Drosophila melanogaster: one gene and its partners. The protein of the gene in region 1 interacts with the protein of each later gene in a pairwise test. Each region holds a gene or a part of one and is shown in the gene's direction. Other genes may lie near its edges. The genes, in order: Drip, Targ, Spt-I and ninaD.

Region 1 (5,049 bases):
ACTTAAATGATATCTTAATAATATTTTCAGTATAAGTTCTAAAGAGGGAAATAAACAATTTTGGTAATTTACCCACAACAGCTACGTACTATCTGTAACTAGCATTAACAACAATTATTTCCAATGTCTAATTCTGAGTTTTTACTTTGTGCCTTTCGATGAATTCAAAGTTTTGTTAAATCTATTTTACAAACCTATAGTAGATAATCTGCAACTGCTTAATAACAATTAAAGCGAATCTAATTTGATGATTTCAACTATTCCCATCTAGTTACTAGATAAAATTATACTTTTAATTGGTATCGTTGGGCAAACTCACTTTGGTGAATGAAACTCCAGTTGAAAAGGAGCCAAGATCTATTGGTAATTCGACAGGCATATACCATCTCCACATCGGCGATTATTATCTCGCCCATTTAGCCAGAGTTTGTGCCATTTTAATGCTTAACTGCCATTAAATATAATTACTCATTAAAGCAAAAGAGCCCCGGCATGTACATACATACATACTTCGCTTGAATTCCCCATGCGAAGGCACAAATAAGTCCGTCTGCGATTTGGCTCTTGTTTTCATAATGGGCCAAGACGCTTCCCCACAAACAAAATCGCAGCTCTTGGCGAGCGAGTCTTCTTTTATTTTGGCTTGTCACTTGTTTTGTCAATAACTCGCAACTGTTGCTCTGTTAAGAGATAAAAATAGCCCGCGACGACGACAAGGTAAAAGCCCTTTTCACCAGCAAAGCCCCGCAATCAATATGGCATATTAAAGTTGGTGAAAAGCTGTTTAAAAGTGAAACTGATAACGGCCCAACCGTCCATAACCCATTAGCCGCGTTTTAAGTTGGAAAAGCTGCAATAAGGTGCCATTAAAAGAAAATGAAAACTGTTCCGGCATTGGAATGGTTGAGTGGGTGGGTGGTAGGTCTAGTACAACCGTTTGGTGGGTGGTTCAAACAGTCACGTGCAGCGTTTGTGGATTATCAAAAGTCAAAAACCCCCTGTAATGATAACATCTTAGCTATGCGATAATTGAGTCTGAGGTTCGGCATGACCAGCGCAATTAGATTAATCAAAAATGTGTTTATGGCTCCTTGAGTGTCCATATATCAAGTGAACAAAATGGCAGGCGAATAATAGTTCTTAGGCTGTGTGCAAAAACCCAAAATGGCTGTGAACTTTCCCCATGGTCAATAACAATTCGATTATGAACTTGGCCATCTGTCGGCTAATTGCAATTCATTGGTTTTTAATTGGCACCATATAAGCAATGCTATATTTTGGGAGCTTTTATGTGATTATCACATCACATTTACCAAAGACTAAGCAAGACAACCATTTTCTATTGTATATATATCTTATACATGGATATATGTACATATGTGCCTATCTTATCTATATTATATCTATGTGATTCGTCTAAAGACTAAGGCCCTTGAGTGGCTTTTTCGGATATGAAACAGTTGATTTAAACCGATGTTATGCCAATTGGTTATAGAATAACTTTGGGGGAGAGTCCATATATCATCAGTAACGGTTAGCAGCTGATAAGACCATGACTGGAAAATGTTTCGTGTTATGGGGTAGACTCGAATGGGGTATTACTCATACTCATACGTTTTGTTTTAAAAAACAATTACGCCACAAGTTATACTGACTAATTTCACTCAGAACTAACTGAGAGCTACTTTCGAAGGGCAAAGTAGGGATTTATTGTAGTATTTGGCAAGCAACTCACTTTGGCCAAAACAGAGCCATCAAAAGCCACAAGAGTCATTACAAATGTTTTCGCGCCCCCATTCGATTAAGTCATCCGGGGTAGGTGTATTCCGAGCTTAGATCCTTTGAGGCGTCCAAGTGGATACATGCGGAGCTCCGCGGTGGCCAAGCCCCAAAACTAAAAAATCTGAATGGGGCAGTGACGGCGACGCGACTGCGACGCCGACCGCGACGACGACCGCGGCAGAGAGTATATCAGTTACAGTCGCAGCGTTGGCAACGCTTATTTGCGCTCGAGCAGCGAACGTGGTAGCACAGCTTTAAGCACTACAGCACTACAGTACAAACTGCGAGAAAGAAAAGCGGCAGTTTCGAAAATCCGAAAAGGAAATCGAGTTCGGAGCGGTTAGTTTAATTGGCGATAATAATAAACTAATAATAAAATCGAGTTATTGCACGTTGCGCTTTCCAATTTCGAAAAGGAAATCTGAAAATATTGTAGCCCAGTGAAGAAAATAAGTCAATCGGGTGAAATTAAATTGATAACAACACCGCTTTCCGCCCCATATTCGACTCCGTGTGGTCAAGTGGCAGACAATTGTGCAACCTCAAGACTCTTAACCTTAACAATTATATTTCGGCCACAAAAAACTATTGGCACAATTCAGTTCGATTCGAGTGCGCGCTAACTCACTTTTACCCGCAGCAAAAAGCAATAAGGCAAAAAGCACGCTTTGAAAACGAAAGCAAAGCACAAGTTCGCTTCGAAACCCCCCACGCTTGCCAAAAATCTCAAGTGGCAGCCCCCAGAAGACAGTAGATCGTAGCCAGAAGACCGAAGACAGAAGACAGCAAAATGGTCGAGAAAACAGGTGAGTGATTGGCGATTGGAGGCTGGAGAATGCGAAATATGCGTGTGCGTGTGTGCGAAGGTTAATTGCGAGCAAAATTTGGGGGCGAGAGTGCGGCAAATTGTTATGGTTTTGTGCGAAAGTTAATCCCACTCTTTTGGGGCTTTCAACTTTTGCTTGAATAATATCACAAACCAATGAGAGTGTATAATTTCCAAAACTATTGATCGAAATCGTTTGCAATTTGCTATTGCCAGTGTATCAATCCTTATGTTTTTTTACATTAAAATAAAACGATCAAAAGTAAACCATAAAATTTGTAATGAATACAGTTTTAACAAATCTACTTTTGATTTAATAAAGCACCCAGTTTGTTTATTGCAAAATAGGCCCCTCTTTGGATTTCACTTTCAAAGCAAACAAATAGTAACCCAAAATTTGCCTTAAATTAATCATTCCTTCACAATTAATCAACTTTAATAAGCCATCGAAAGATGTTTTGATAAATCATCTTTTTCTTTTTTTTCTTTCTTTGTTTTGGGTGGTTGGGCGAATCAAAGAGTAGCCCGCCTGTCGATAACGATAACGAGATGATTGGTTTTCAATAATTTCTCTGACACAGCATGACAAAGACAGCAAATTAGCCCCGAGTTATTTTTTTTTTTATAGTTAGACGTAGTTTTTTGTTGCTTTGATTTAGCTTCCGTGGCGATTGATGATGATTTCTGTAACTGAAAGTTTGCATGACAGAAAAGCCTGGAAAGAAAAAAAAAAGATAGATAGGAGAAAACTTAGCTAGGTAAACAACAGCGGAAACTCCGGCCGAGGCAATTTATGCGATGATGATGTTGATGGCTCCCCAACGAAAGCAATAAAACCACACCGAACCGAGTCAAGTCAGTCAAGTGAATGAACTGGAGGAAAACACCCTAAGAGCCAAATAAGTAGGAACTTTTATTTGTGCGATCTGAACAGTCAAATTAATTAAAAACCTAATTGCATTCCTCTGGTTGCTTCGCAGAATTAAAGCCAACCTCTGGCGTCATTTTCGCCGCCTGTTCCGCCGATATCGTTGTGATAATGACCATAATATTTACCCGGCACTGAATACTCATTTGCCAAGCCAAGAATTCTCGGTTCCAGCTAATTAATGTCAACGCCTGAGCATCTATTTGATCAAGTGTTTAAACACAGGGCTCAATATTTGATTTAGATATTAAATATGTTCACTTAACGTGGCTGCTTAATGCTCGGGTGGAATTTTGAGACCAGTAAGCGTTTAAAAATAGTCGAGTGAGGTGCGTGAGAAATTCGCAGCCCTTTGGCGCTGAAATTCTGCAAATTATAGTACAAACGTGTGGCTAATTTGATATCCCTCTTTCGCTTAATGTCTTCTCCGCCTCATAATTCAATGCGTTGTCATCTTGGACCAACATCACTTTATACATATATATATATATATATATATGTGTAGACAGACTTCCACCTGACGTTAGTAGCTGCTGTTTTTGTGGCGACGGATTCGCAGATATAACAAAATTACAGTAATAATCGTGCGCGGAGTTGACATGACATCACGGTGAAATTGGCATTCAAAACAGTAGCAAACTTAAGGCCAGGAAATGGTTTTTGGTATGACTGGAGAACATTTAGACATTTAACACAGTTAGTGCACATCCCCATTTACTTAATTCCATCCAACCGAGCTCCGTTCTCAATGGAAGATCAACTTGTTTGTTAATCGGATAGCTTATAATTAAGATAATAAGCTGCCATTGAGATGCACAGAAGCGAAGATGTTCGGTTCCCATGGAAAGTTTTTGATTCACGTAACGTTCAATTAAGTTTACGGAAAATAATTGGAATGTTCATATATCTATTGATTTGATGTAGAAGTGACTGTGTGCCATACCGAAAATTTAGTCCGCTTTGGTGTACAAATTGCATATTTTGCAAATTTAAAAAAACAATCCGAAAGAAATACAACTTTGTTGCCTTTTAAAATGCCATCCATTATGTGCCTGAAAAACAGCCTTTCAGTCTCCCAATTTTCCCTATCGTGTCGTCTCAAATTATCGCCATTAATTGACAAACTTCCAAAGTTAGTCATAAACCACAAACCCCAATAAATTGCCTTTGATTTATGGTGCATTGTAAACGAGTTAAGCGACATAAATTCGTTTGGAGCAAAAGCCCATAAAGATTATAAGTGAGTTTGAACGTACTCCTCCCGCACAGCAAACGAGCAAACGAAAACTGAATAGTCCCCTGCCCATCTGACTAATTAATTTATAACGATTTTAATAGCCAGCGAACAGGTTTCGATCTTTCCCGCGACTGTTATTAATAAAATCATCACCTTGCCGAACAAAAGTGCCCAAGAGTTGCGCAAAGCCGAAATTAATAATCCGATTAAATTGATTAATTGTTGTAGACGAAAAATGGATTGCAAACAATATGCCAGAACCTTTTGTTTTGCACT
Region 2 (5,533 bases), 3.2 Mb from region 1:
AAGAAGCTGCGGGCGAAGTATTGATGAACTTTTGGCCAGAAACATAACTAAACGGAGGTTTTGGATTGGAACCGGTGCTGTGGCAGGTTGAGAGACACGAAATTTTGGTCTGTACAGGCGAACGCTCTGCTTTGATCTGGCTAACACCAAGGTGCTGAACCAATAGTTGGCAAGAAATCTAGTCCAAGGCCGCCATGATGGGATCTATTTTATTTACATTTCAACAGCTACTTCTCTATGGATTCCAGATTTAAGTGTGTAATTCCTCGAATACTGTCGCGAATTGAGCCTTTTCCGGGCCACGGACCAAATGGGTTTTCCTTGTTTGTTCTGCAGTTAATTGCGAATGGATTCGATGCCAGCGAATTTGCAATGTCCAGCTGCCTTGATTTGCAGGCAAATAACAATAAAGAAAAAATAGGCAACGCAACCTTCACTTTACGAATTTTTGCCCCAGCTTGTTTGCAAGTTAAATGCAAACAGAGTGCAGCCAGCCAAACGACAAAGCCCAACAAAAAAAAAAAAAAATAAAACAGAACGAAAAATATACATACAAAGCTGACCCCCTGCGAAAAAAAAAACAACAGAAGTCCACTAGAATAAGTATACGCCGCGTTGGTCGCCGCTCGCTGCTTGCTGTTCTCGGGGCAGTTTTCGCTTTTACGCCGCTATTTTCATTGGAGTCACTGCCGTCCGAGAGTGGCCATGCATGAGGGCTCCCATAAAATTGGGTCAATTGCTGTTAACAATTTGGCAGCGCAATCTTTTGGCCGTTTCGATTTCAAGGCGCTCAGGGGAAAAAAAATCGAAAAATAGGAAAACACAACGTGGGCCATAAAAAACGAGCACGTACGAGCGAACCTTTTGGAAAAAAACAATTTCCGCATAGAGTTGTTGGCCAGGAAAAATAGCCGCTGCAATCGGTGCTCCCCCGCGGGAGAACAGGAAAAATCCAGGGGGGGGGGAAGGTGTAGATGAAGCTGAAGTGGCTGGTCGAAAAGTTTGCTGGCCTTTACGCTAATTAATTAGTGCACTTTGTTTGTAATTCATTTTGCAAAAGCAGGGCTGGCTTAGTTAAAGTTTCCAGGGGCGAGGTTTGTTTCATAAAGCATGGACCGACTGCCTCCAATTCAAGAGCCCGGGCATCACTTTCCATTTAATCAACTGGGGAAACAGTCGACCCCAATACTTCAGCTCTTGTTGCCTTTGAGTGACTGCCAATGAAGTTACTGCCCCTAAAGCTGAGATGCACTTTAGCCGCTCCACTCCAATCGCTCCGCTCTCCGTGCAAAACTCAGACGACTAAGGAATGATTTCATTTACTTACAATCAATGAAATTGCACTGATGCAATTTTGTTTCGGCCCCAAAATAAACAGGCAAGCGGGTGGAACGGAGCTGGGATCGGGTTGTGGCAATAGGGATTCGCCAGGCAAAAGAAGATGGCGATGGCGAGGCGATGGCTAAAAAGTAACAGTTGCAGTGGGGCAATTGCGGAGGAGGAGCAACTGGGGGTCACCAACAAGCAACTACCAACCAACTCCGTTTGTCACGCTCGCCTGGCAGCCATGACAGCATTTGGTAGCCAGGAGCAGCTAATGTCTGGCGACAGTTCCCGAATCCCACGAATCCCCATGAATTCCCGTTCCTGTTGCTGGGGCTTCTCATCTTGCAGCCAGACACGTAGCCAGCCACTGTGCATTGGGTTCGGGTCGAGACGCAGAGAGATTTGTGAAAGATGTCAGGAACACTCTGCGACAGAGTCGAAAAATGAGCAGGAATCGTAGGCGAAGGTGACTGAGTCTGTTCGCCCAGCAAAGCACTCAACTCGACCAAATCCCTCTGTTTTTCAGCTTCCCCAGCAGCCAATATGAAGATAAGACCGCCGCTGCACAGCCAAGTGGAAGTAGCTTGAGATCCCAATCTCTGTCCAGGCTGGACATCTCGGTTCAAAACTCATCCATCTATTACAATGATACGCGAAACACGCGACCACAAATGGTCAGTGTGGCCGTCGGCACAGTTTCAACGGATATCCTGAATGGGCGCACATCATTCTTGTCCCTTAGTCAGTCTCACGGGAGTGAAGTGGATTTGCCTTCGTTCTACGAAAGCTTTAATCCAACTTTTCTTCCCAAGCTGCCTATCAGAAGATTTCCCCATATGCTTGTGGGGGCATCAAATGAGCCTGAGATTTCGAAAAACCAGCCAGCAATTCCACCATCTAGGCCAATTGAGCCAATATCTGAGGTGCCGTTTGTGGAACCGGCCTTTGAGAAAAAATACTCTAGGACCCGTGGATTTAGCAAGGAATTGTCCACACACAGGGATAATGAGAATGAATATATCGAGAGCACAGATGAGGTGTCTCAGATGTTGAGCTTTACTAGCTATACGGATGAATATGATAGGGCAGAACCACTCATTACCAAAACGCAAAAGTTTTATAAAAAGAGTAAGTTATCATAGCGCTGCCTTCCTTTTTACAAAAATGTTTTTTTTTTTATTTTTATTTTATTGTCATGCAATTGAATTTTGTCTAAGCTATTTTTGGCCATTTGCTTGAAATTGAGGAACCTACCAAATGCATTTCTTGTAGCTAAAACTGTAGCCTTCTTACAGGATCCCCCTTGATTCCCAAATACGATTCCGAGGATTCATATGTGGTCCCTAAGGAAACCGATCAACAGGAATCGGGTCTCTCGTTCAATGTAACTACAGTACAGTTGGCCGATACCGCATCGCCGGAATCTTTCAGCGAATACGACGGAAATCGAACGCGCAAGCAATCGTTCGACATGGAAAGTAAAAATTCGAAGGAGTCCTTTGACTTTAGCCGTGGTGGAAGACGACTTGGCTCCGGTATGGTTTTTGTAAGTGAGTGAATAGCATTCTTGTGGTGGTGAATTGAGAAACGAATGACGACTCTTGTCATCCACAGATCTATATGGTGATACCACCGGACGGCGGATTCGGTTGGGTAATCATGGTGCTGTCCTTCCTCGCCCAGCTGATAATCGATGGTTTAATTTTTACCATTGGGGTCTTATTGCCATCCATTGCCCAGGATCTGGATGTCTCCATATCGTCGGTATCGTTTGTGGCCAGTGTCCAGATTGGTTGCTACTTCACTAGCGGAGCGTTTTCTGCTGTCCTGATAAATCGTTTTGGTTTCCGAAAGGTAGCCATCGCTGGGGTCCTGTGTTCCGCAGTTTCAATACTGGCGTCCAGTTGGAGCGTCAGCTTGACCATGCTGATCTTCTTTTACAGCGTCCTTGGTAGGTTGATTCTAGATTGCTGTACGATATTCGATGAATAATAGTACTAGCCTGCGCAGGTGGTATTACGTTGAGCATGATCTGGGCAAGTTCGCAGCTGATTGTTGGCTACTACTTTGAGCGGTACCGTCCGATGGCCAATGGATTTTCCTGCAGCGGTGGCGGTGCGGGCATAGTACTCTTCACGTTCCTCAACAGCTGGCTGGTGCCAATCATCGGATGGAGGAACATGCTGCGGACGCAGGCGGGGCTGATAATGTTGATCCTGTTGATGGTGGTCGCCTATGTGGAGGTGGCTCCCACCCAGGTGGGCATGTACCATTTACCCGGTTCTTCGGATACCAGTTCGGATGAGTATTACGGCAACTTCTACGTGCATGACTATTTACGTCAATCCGCGATGACTGCTAAAAGCCGGAGTATCCTAAGTACATATGAGCCACGCCCAAAAAAGAAAGGATGCGCCAAGTTCTGCCCCTCCTGTTCGAACTGTTGTTGGAGGCGGCGGAAGAAGTCGCAAAATGCTGATGAGCAGAATCTGCTCATCCGCCCGGCGCCCCTGGAGCGGGAGGATCTCTTCTATACGGGTCCTGCCGAATACGAAAAGCCGCACAGCAAGGAGAACGTCGACGGCAAGGAGTTCCTACTAATGGGATCGGATAAGAACGTAAGTGTTGTATTAAGAATAAATTCGCTTCAACTTAAGAACACCACCAACTTTCACTTAGACCCAGCAAGTGAACTATGGCATCAAGAACATTCGTGTGGATGATGAACCCGATAGGATTTCTAGAGTTCATAGGGAACGAAGATGGTCAAACGAGAATCAGAAAAAGCAAAATTCCTGTAGGAATAGCCGGTTTATGCTCACTGTGCTCAAACTATTCGACTACCGCCTGCTGAAACAGTTTGAGTTCAAGATTCTGGTGGCGTCCGCCTTTCTGTTCCCGATGGGCTTTAATATACCCTTTGTTTACTCGTCTGCACGAACCACGATCCCCGTCGAATATGCCCGTATGATCGGCCCCATTATCGGAATTAGTAATCTTGTGATGAGAAACATCCTTGGCATCCTCGCTTACAAAAGGCGTAGTTGGACCCTCGGACTTTGTGGTTGTGGTCTAATTTTCGGTGGTGTTTCCGTTTTGATTAGCGCCTTCTATGGAGAGAACTTGATTTGGTTCCAGTTTCTGTATGGCTTCTCCTATGCTGTAGCGCCTGGTGCGTACATTTACTTACCTTACTTAAGTTTACAATATTACCCTCTCTCATTTCCATGGAATAGCTGTTTATTCCACACTGAGAGGTTTGATATACGTGAAATACCTGGGACTTTCAAAACTGACCAACGCTTTTGGGATTACCTCATTGGCCATGGGAATGGGCGCCTTTATTGGGACTACAATTGCTGGTAAATTGATAGGCATCACGGGAAACTATTCTGCTGCCTTTTGCTTTGCGGGATTATGTCTCATAGTGTCCGGATTTCTGAAGCTTCTGCTGCCCTTGCTTATTAAATGTCGCAACAGGATGGCCCAATGAGGAATTGGACTATTGGAATTGCAATATTTATTGGTTCTCCTGCTTGGAACTTGGGATTGTCTTACAACTAATAGCTTAGGCATTTTTATGACTTTTTTTTACTGGTCCTCGTTCCAAATTCTGAGTAAATGTTTGTATATCCATGTAATTGTTAATTGACCGATGTCATTAACTATTACTTCCTCCTTATTACAGATTTATTTTCAATATAATTTCAATTCAAGTGAGTTCTTTTTGGGGTTGACTTTTATTGCAATCCATTTTAAGTTATTAGTTAGCTTAGTTTACATCTAATATTAGCTTAGTTGCTGAACAACACACTTTGGCTCCACGCTTATAGGTTCAAGTGTGCTGTGTTTGGTTTTTCATTTGGTTTTGTTTCCATTTTTCCTTGTTTGGGTATGCAAATTTTCACGCTTCTTGTTTACTTTGATTTGCTTTCTAAACTTTGTACGTCTACTGTTCAATGTTTTGTTTTTTTTTTCTTCATTTTTTATATTTTATGATGATTTTTTTACATATTATTTAGAGCTAAAGCAACGAAAAAAAAAATATAAATCAATGTGAACACATAAACATAAGAATGTTTGAATCGACATCCGCAGGACGAATGACTCCAATCCTCTGTGTCCTGTGTCTAAATCTTTCTTGTGTTTTTTAATATTGTCAGTAGTCTTCCCCATCGTCGCCTCTAATTTAATCCATTTTTAATTG
Region 3 (4,435 bases), 1.7 Mb from region 1:
GCAAGCCGGACCGAATTGGTAGGTCCCGCAAAGAAGAAGAAGTAAAGTGATGTGATGTGAGGTGAAGTGAAGTGAAAACCACTAACTGGGTTGGCGCGGCGCCGTGTTTATTATTGATATTTATTTTGGTTTTTGGCTCGTGCCCGGCCAGCGAGTTACGTAAAAGAAAAGCCAACGTCAAAATGCAGCTCGAAAACTGGTTGCTCCACCGATTTTCGCACACACCAAGAGATACTTATTGCGCATTGCAAAAAGCGGGTAAAAGCGAAAATACCTAATCGAGGAAATACTGCGCTGGGATGCATCAATTGTGTCATGGAGTTAGTCGGGTGCATTGCTCGATTTATCTGCGAAAGTGGGCATGGTGTAGACATGGTAGCTTCATTCGAGCGCATCAAGTTCAAGAGAAATAGGAAGTGGCTTTTCTTTGCGCTATTTCGGTTTGCCATTATCGCATGGGCAATGCTAACTATAACTATTTGATTGATAGATAGTGATGTGAAAGGTACTTTGATTGGTAGCTACATAGTATAGTTCATCAGTATCAGTTGGCAATTATTTAATAATATTGTAATTTAAGACGAAATGGAACTTGATAAAAATGATTATGTATATTTTAAATACAATCGTGACTTTGAAAGAAGTATTTCCTTGGGTCTAATTGAATAGTGATATAGGTAAATAGTAAATAATTATATGAAATGCAATAGAATTTACTATATATTAAAACAAGGACATTTGCAAGGAAGAGTGAATACTTGTACCTAGACTAGATCGCGACACATAGCGTAAATTGTTGTATCTAGACTACCAGCCAGGTACACCCAAATATACACTTCCCATCACTGCCAATAGAAAAAAGTGTTAATTTCACAGAAAACGACAGCCGCAAGTGGCTGAAAATAAACCAAGGCAATTGCAAAATACTCTTGTTGTCCAGCTGATTTCACTTTGTGCACATACAAGTATCCGTTTCGATTCGCGTGTAATGTGATAAAGTTTTCTTGCAAAATGCAGAACTAACTATATCTCTTTGTTTACATCGGCTTTTTGCGGTGTTCTTTGTCTTCTCGCGGTTTTTATCTCGCGAACTCGAATTTCAGATGGCGCCAGTAACGCGGCTCATTCACATCGGTTGACCGATCGCAGCAGCAGTTCAATGGAAACTGAATGGATCGGCGGTTTGAATTGAATTCGATTTCGTTATTTCCCACCGCACGGTCACACTGCGATCGCTGCTCTGCCTATCGATATAAAATAGTAATCGATCATATATTTGAAATGATAACTAGAAAAGAACCGTTACGTAGCAAGTTTATTTGAGTTCAGTATCATAAAAATATTGATAAAATCTAGGTAATTTTTAATAAAAATTTAAAATCTGTTGTAACTTGTTGTATTTTGTTGTTAGCGAGTCAGCTCGGTGGGACAGGTCAGTGGGACACGTCAGCGGAACAGGTCGGTGGGTCAGATCGGCGGGACAGGTCGGTGGGGCAGGTGGGCGGGACAGGTCGACAGGACCAGGTTTTTGAATAACAAAAAATAAATAAAAACGTCCCCTAGTTCCATATTCCACTGTTCCTCCATCGCCGCCAATTTGGCGCACATCTTAAAGATATCCGCGTATTGGTATTTTTTAGTACATTCGTTCATCCATCTGTTTCGGCGGATATTTCACGCATTTTGCCTATAGTTAACTGAGTTTTGTGGTGAGTGCTCGATTTAAATGGATATTTAATGTAAGAGAATGTTGGAGAAGGGCGTGGTTGCACATTTTTCGCCCACTGGCAATTAGCCTATGTCAGCATACACACCCAATTGAAAAGATTTCCGTACCGTATGGTCGAATGCTTCAATTCTACATATGTATGGGGCATACCCGCGATAAGAAAGCGTCGGCTAGATGACACATAACTTCAGGGAATTAAGGCGGTTTCAATTGATTTTTCACAGAAAGGGCACGGAACCAGACTGTCAAAATGGTGGCCATCCAATTGTTCAACGAAATCGGCAGTATTTTCCGAAACGTAAGTTTGCATTCGCCTTTTTCACCACATTTAGCTTACTCCAGTTTCTACTCCTTCCACAGACCCCCACGTTTGCTCTCGTCTTGGAGACCCTACTGCTCATAACCGTGATTTGGTTGCTGCTCCACAGACGAGGAGGAGGTCGTCGCCGACAGCTGACCAAGGAGGAGGAAGACCGAATAATCGCCGACTATGAACCAGAGCCCTTGGTGGCCGACACCGATCCCAATCATCCCCTGCTGCACACCCGCGTTGTGCAGTCCAGGGTGGGCAAGCGCATCCAGGTCGATGGACACGACTGCCTAAATCTTGGCTCTCACAACTATCTTGGCTTCCTCGAGGACCAGGAGATACTGGAGGAGGCCTGCAAGTCGCTGCGCAAGTACGGAGTTGGATCTTGCGGACCTCGGGGCTTCTACGGCACTATGGACGTGCATCTGGACCTGGAGGATCGTATTGCCAAGTTCATGGGCCTGGAGGAGGCCATTGTCTATTCCTACGGCTTCTCGACCGTGGCCAGTGCCATTCCGGCGTATGCCAAACGTGGCGACCTTATCTTTGTGTAGGATTGTCTACTTCACCTACTCAGATTGGCGACTAATTACTTGTTATTTGTAGGGATGAGGCTGTCAACTTTGCCATTCAGAAGGGTCTGGATGCTTCACGAAGCACAATCGTTTTCTTTAAGCACAATGACGTTGAGGATCTAGAACGTCTGCTGATTGAGCAAGAAAAACGAGACCAGAAAAATCCGAAAAAGGCGGCTAAGACACGTCGCTTCCTCGTCGCCGAGGGTATCTATATGAATACGGGCGAGATTTGCCCACTTCCCGACCTGGTGGCCTTGCGTCAGAAGTACAAGCTGCGTTTGTTCATCGACGAAAGCATCTCCTTTGGCACATTGGGCCAGGGTGGTCACGGAGTTACGGAGCACTTTAATGTCGATGTAGGTGGTAAACCGGAAAGAAAAACTAAAATTATAACTGGTATTTTTCTTTTAGCGTGATGAAGTCGATCTGATATCGGCCGGCATGGAGGGTTCGATGGCAACAGTCGGTGGCTTCTGTGTTGGCTCGCACTTCATAGCCGAGCACCAGCGCCTCTCTGGCTTGGGCTACATCTTCTCGGCCTCGCTGCCGCCCATGCTCACCCAGGCGGCTATTTCAGCGTTGGATCGTTTCGAACGAGAACCACAAATCTTCGAGCAGCTGCAGGCAAAGTCTAAGACGTTGCACCAGAAGTTTTTGCGATTCAGCAAGCTAACCCTGCGCGGCGATGAGGTGTCACCAGTGAAGCACTTGTATCTTGCCCAGCCCGCCGAGAACTTTGACAAGGAACTGAAACTTCTAACAGAGCTGGCTGATAAGGTAGGCATTTTATTTCCCCATGCAATTATGAAAACTATACATTTCTACTCACTTTTCCCAGTGCATTGCTCGTGGAGTGGCTGTGGTACAGGCTGCCTACCTGCAGAACAGGGAACGCCAACCAGTCCGTCCCAGCATTCGCATTGCTGTCAACCGTTTGCTGGAGAGTTCGGAAATAGACAATGCGTTTGAGGTCATCGAGAGTGTTTCCAGCTCCGTCCTATAAGCCTTGTTGTTGGAAAGGAATGATCTTCTTTCGACAATGGCCTTGCTGTTAAGTTTTAAGGCCTGCTGGCCCCATCATTTTTTCATCACTTCTTCACGACCAGTCCAGTATGAATTGTTTAAGTTAATAGCTAGCCTTGCACTTGCTCTTTGCACTTTGTTGCATTGCATTTTAATGAAAAATTTTAAGTCTAGGAAAACTTTCAAAGATTACACGTTATAGATAACAGAGCTGGTTAAATAAAACTATTAAGTTTATTTGGTAGTTACGTGCCCTTTTATTGGTGTTTCTTATCGCCTGCGCAATCGCAAACGTTTTTGAATATCCCGATAAAGATAAGGGTAATATTATGTGGCATTTGTTGTAAAATTTACAAGAACAACTTCCACAAAGAAACATTCATTATTTATTTATGTTTTTCTTGCATGACAATTAAGATACACATCACACGCTTAATAATAACTAATATGTGGAATAAGCCAGATGGAATGGAAATGCTTTGAAACGATTTGATTGCCAGTGGAGCAGAGCTGTTTCCGAGTGGCGACCTAATCTGTGAGCAATAATCATAACCCTTCGACTTTCAAACCCATGTTTGTGCATTCGATTCACTGATGAACTTGACAACGACGACCCCAAATCATGATGTTGTGCACATAGCGCTCTGATTTCGATGCCGATATGCCAGCCGGCAATCAGCGCCAATTGAGCGTATACGTACTATGAACTTGGGTGCGGTGCTATCAGTGCGAATACGCAACATTTGGCGACAAAAACATGCAATTACAGCAATTTTCGCTATGTTGTTTACATAC
Region 4 (4,179 bases), on another chromosome or scaffold:
TTTGGCATAATTGTTTCATATGCTGTGAAGGTCAAGCTTTTCTTGGGAGCCCTGGGCGGCGAGCTCTGCGCTGAGCTACCATTTATTCTGATGCACCCGAAGGTAATAAAAGGTGTGCCCAAATATTTGAATAGTTATTGAAAGGCAATCAATTATTTACAGCCAAGTCGCAAGGCCCAACTGGAAGCCGAGGGCTCCATTGAGGCCTAAACTGAAAGGGCTACCTCAACCAACGAAAAAAATGGCGTATTTCTACAAGTCAAACCGATTTTTGTAGATCCTAAAAAATGCTGATGTTGCTGAAATGTTCTGAACTGCAGTCGTCGTACTTTTCCTATATAGCAAATCCAATATCCATATATTGTATGTGTGTATGTGTATTATATTTATAACTCAACTAACAATTAAATATGAACAGAGTTTATGTATGTATTTTGGAGTATTCTATTGAATTTAGCACGGTGTATTTGAAAAGGCTCCAGCATTGAAAGTTTGTATGGAATGCGCACTAAATATTTAATAATGTGCTTACGAAGGCATTTCGTAGTATTTGATATCTTGCAATGTCTGCTGATTATGTACATTGAAGTGCAATGGGGAAATCAACAGAAGCCAGTGCAATCTATTCAATTACTAATAGTGGGTCTTGCATTTGTGGCTTAGTAATTCCAATTATTGCTACTCTGAAAAGCCGAGGAGCAGCCTAATTAATACTTGGCCACTATGCTGGAGGAAGTTTACTGAACTGAATTCGAGTAAGGAAAATGGACAATAATTGATATAATATGGTGAGCTTCTTGCTGGACTTTGAAATCGTAAAATTTAAGCGAACACACTTCAAACGCATCCATTTAATTTGTGAATGTTTGCAGTCCCACTTTTAATAAGCACCCAATATTAACGATAACGCCACTCTAATCAAAATTTTCCAATAGTCAGGGTTGAAATACTGATCAATCACGCTGCCAACATTTCGGCAGACCAGGTGGGTAATGAGTTTAAAATGGTTTTGCGTAATGGGATTAATCGAATTTCATTAAGGAAGATTAGATTGCCGTCTTTGGAAGTGATCTTTTATAGTGGCTGACCATAAAAATTGCATTGCAAATACTAATTTAAGCATACATGCTATATAACCGATAAGATGGGCGAGCGTCAAGGCAAAAATAGTTGACCGTATTAATAGTTTAATCAACTAGCTTCAAGTTAATTTATAATGCGAATTAGGAAGCACTCTGGCATGCTATTAAAAACTTAAGAACTGATAAACGAAACTTAATTCCTAAAATAAAAATGTACCTAATTACTTTTATATACTATTATAAATAAAATTGTACCATGTATCGTTAAATTTGATTTAGTTACCAAGTGGTATTTGGTACGTGGCAGCATGAAATAGCTACTACTGCTAGTCTGGCTGATTAGCCAGCACTCTCAATAAACTAAGTGCAGCGTTTTGCATTTATCAGGATTTTTGGTACTCTAAACACACACTTAGATCCCAATCACCCCACAGAATAAGTTGAGCAAACCAAACCGAGCTGATTACCACAGTAGACATGATGATTAGCCGCTGCTTTATTTACTAGTGGATAATCTACTAAGCGACGCATGAATAAAAACTCGAGCGATATTTTTCCACTTTGCAGTCGCTCGAAAGCCTTTGTTTCGTCTCTCAATATGTGCTGCAGCTGCTGTGGGGTGACCCAACAAAAGGCCTGGGTCTTCGGCCTGGGAACCTTTTTCGCGGTCTCCGGACTCCTGGCCATAATATGCTGGCCTGGCTTTATAGACTCAGGGATTATGAAGGTGAGAGGCGGTGTATAAAAATAAAATTAAGGAGGAGTACTAATCGATTTATTAAAAAGGCCTTGCCGTTGACACCCACTTCAAAGACTTTTGAAAAATGGGAGGAGCTGCCCATTCCGGTGTATGTCTACATGTATCTTTGGAACTGGACAAATGCCGCAGATGTGCAGGCTAATGGAGTAAAACCTATTTTCGCGCAACTTGGACCCTATGTTTATCGAGAGGAGAGGAAGAAGATGGATCTTGAGTGGCACGACAATGGCACAGTTACCTTTAACCCCAGAAGAACTTGGTTCTGGGAAGAGGAGCTCTCTGGCGGCAAGCAAACGGATTTAATTACCGCCCCACATTTACCTTCATTGGTAGGAAATAAGCAGTTATTAAAAAACAATTTGGTCTAAAAGAAGTTTTCCTTTTTCACTTTTTGCAGGCTGCTTCAAACCAAATGCGGAATAGCAACGTCTTCCTGAAATTCATGTTCAACGAGGCCCTAAATGCGAATGGTGGACATCTCTTTGTGACCCACACGGCAGCTGAATGGCTGTTCGAAAGTTTCTACGACGAATTTTTGCATTACGCCATGACCCTGAATAATCCATTGGTCCCAAAAATCGAGTCGGATCACTTTGCCTGGTTCCTCAACCGTAACGGATCGAAGGACTTCGAGGGTCCCTTCACTGTACACACCGGAGTGGGTGACATCAAGGAGATGGGTGAAATTAAGTATTGGAAGGGCCAGAATCACACGGGATGGTACGATGGAGAATGTGGACGTCTCAATGGCAGCACCACGGATCTTTTTGTGCCCGATGAGCCCAAGGAGAAGGCTTTGACCATCTTCATTCCGGATACTTGTCGGATCATAAATCTTGAGTTCACCGGACAGAGCGAAACAATTCAGGGCATCACGGGTTGGAAGTACGAGATAACGCCGAATACCTTCGACAATGGACAGATCAATGGTAACGCGAAGTGCTGGTGTCCTTTGGAGCGCCAGCCAGATAATTGTCCTGCAACCGGAGCCACTGACCTAGGACCGTGTGCCGATGGAGTTCCCATGTACCTTTCTGCGGATCATTTTATGTACGCGGACGAAAGTTATGGCAGCACGATAAGCGGCTACAATCCGAATTACGATCAAAATAACTTTTATATCATCATGGAGCGCAAGATGGGAGTGCCGTTGAAGGTCAATGCCAATGTGATGATTACCTTGTACATAGAGCCAGACAGCGTTATAGAGTAATTATTTACAATAATTGTTGCCTACCATATATATGACTTGATAAACACATTTTTTCCTAGCATACTGAAGGGCCTGCCCAGCTTCTATGCACCACTTTTTACCACTGCTAGTCGAGCGGAAATCGACGAAGCCCTCGCCTCAGAACTTAGGGTATGTTTTAGAGCTTGTTGAACTACGTTGATTTCTATTTTAAATAATGCATTTTGTCTTTTAGTTGGCACTGAATCTACCGGCTATAGGGAGATATACTGGAGTGGGATTCCTGTGCCTGGGCTGCATTCTTATAGCAGTTGGCATCTTACTTACCATTAAGAGGAAGTGGTATGGCCAGGCCGAGTTGGACAAACTGGCTCTCAAGGATAACGAGGAAACTCCATATGAACCGGAAGTTCCGGCCAACGTGGTCGAACGAAACTTTTAATTTAGTATTAACATTTTTTTTAATGAGCAGCACACGGATGTGATTCAAAAAACATATATGTGATAAATAACTCTAAACATTTTTTATTCTAGCTTTAAAATATAAAACTTCTAAACAACTGAAAAAATTAATAAAATTTAAAAAACTCATATAACTATTGTCTTCATTTTACAATAATTAAATTAGTTAAAGCTTATATTTATCTATGTGGTTTTTTAAATGATTGAGTGAATGAATTTATAGAAGCTTGTACACAAATTTAAATAGGCTCTTTAAATAAAGGTTTTATTTTAGAACATTTTTTAATTGTTTTTAAAATTAAAATTCAAACATCATCTGTGTGTCTTTTTTAGTTTATAATTAATTCATATACACAAAAGAAAAAGAAAATTAAATAAAATCATTAAAATTAAGATTTAAAAAACTCAACAAATTTGTATAATAGTTATGTGATTCCTATACCTATTTAAACGATTTCGTATCTCAGTTGTATTTTCTTTTTTACAGTGCATCTAATGATTTATCTAATGAGTGAAACGAAATATAATCACAAAACTTCGTATAACATTTAACTCAGGCCGTAAAACAAGCCACTTGAAAAAGCTTTCGGAGATTAGCCTATCAGAAGCGTTCCAAGTGGAGAATTCAAAACAAATATAAAAATAAAAAAATCACCTGTTAATTTGCTCTTGAAATCTAATCT

Evidence for each region.
Region 2: the proteins of Drip (region 1) and Targ interact in a two-hybrid assay, tested with the Drosophila melanogaster proteins (one large-scale study listed by BioGRID).
Region 3: the proteins of Drip (region 1) and Spt-I interact in a two-hybrid assay, tested with the Drosophila melanogaster proteins (one large-scale study listed by BioGRID).
Region 4: the proteins of Drip (region 1) and ninaD interact in a two-hybrid assay, tested with the Drosophila melanogaster proteins (one large-scale study listed by BioGRID).

The regions. Positions count from the first base shown.
Region 1 is NT_033778.4:11,426,592-11,431,640, reverse strand, and holds the start of Drip (drip), read left to right. Parts: upstream 1-1,995; 5' UTR 1,996-2,572; coding exon 2,573-2,588; intron 2,589-3,837; exon of another isoform or gene 3,838-4,189; coding exon of another isoform or gene 4,190-4,199; intron 4,200-5,049. UniProt on the Drosophila melanogaster protein: Forms a water-specific channel.
Region 2 is NT_033778.4:14,666,647-14,672,179, forward strand, and holds Targ (tarag), read left to right. Parts: upstream 1-1,744; 5' UTR 1,745-1,769; coding exon 1,770-1,792; intron 1,793-1,801; exon of another isoform or gene 1,802-1,852; coding exon 1,853-2,454; intron 2,455-2,621; coding exon 2,622-2,872; coding exon of another isoform or gene 2,873-2,876; intron 2,877-2,940; coding exon 2,941-3,277; intron 3,278-3,327; coding exon 3,328-3,944; intron 3,945-4,005; coding exon 4,006-4,498; intron 4,499-4,562; coding exon 4,563-4,819; 3' UTR 4,820-5,029; downstream 5,030-5,533. Other genes in the region: CG12860 (uncharacterized protein), read right to left, coding at 1-45.
Region 3 is NT_033778.4:13,166,862-13,171,296, forward strand, and holds Spt-I (serine palmitoyltransferase subunit I), read left to right. Parts: upstream 1-1,636; 5' UTR 1,637-1,709; exon of another isoform or gene 1,710-1,953; 5' UTR 1,954-1,979; coding exon 1,980-2,027; exon of another isoform or gene 2,028-2,089; coding exon 2,090-2,589; exon of another isoform or gene 2,590-2,645; coding exon 2,646-2,973; exon of another isoform or gene 2,974-3,028; coding exon 3,029-3,394; intron 3,395-3,446; exon of another isoform or gene 3,447-3,455; coding exon 3,456-3,620; 3' UTR 3,621-3,883; downstream 3,884-4,435.
Region 4 is NT_033779.5:18,079,985-18,084,163, forward strand, and holds ninaD (neither inactivation nor afterpotential D), read left to right. Parts: upstream 1-1,643; 5' UTR 1,644-1,680; coding exon 1,681-1,809; intron 1,810-1,868; coding exon 1,869-2,171; intron 2,172-2,239; coding exon 2,240-3,051; coding exon of another isoform or gene 3,052-3,055; exon of another isoform or gene 3,056-3,112; intron 3,113-3,114; coding exon 3,115-3,205; intron 3,206-3,269; coding exon 3,270-3,476; 3' UTR 3,477-3,624; downstream 3,625-4,179. Other genes in the region: Arr1 (arrestin 1), read left to right, coding at 1-102, 163-210.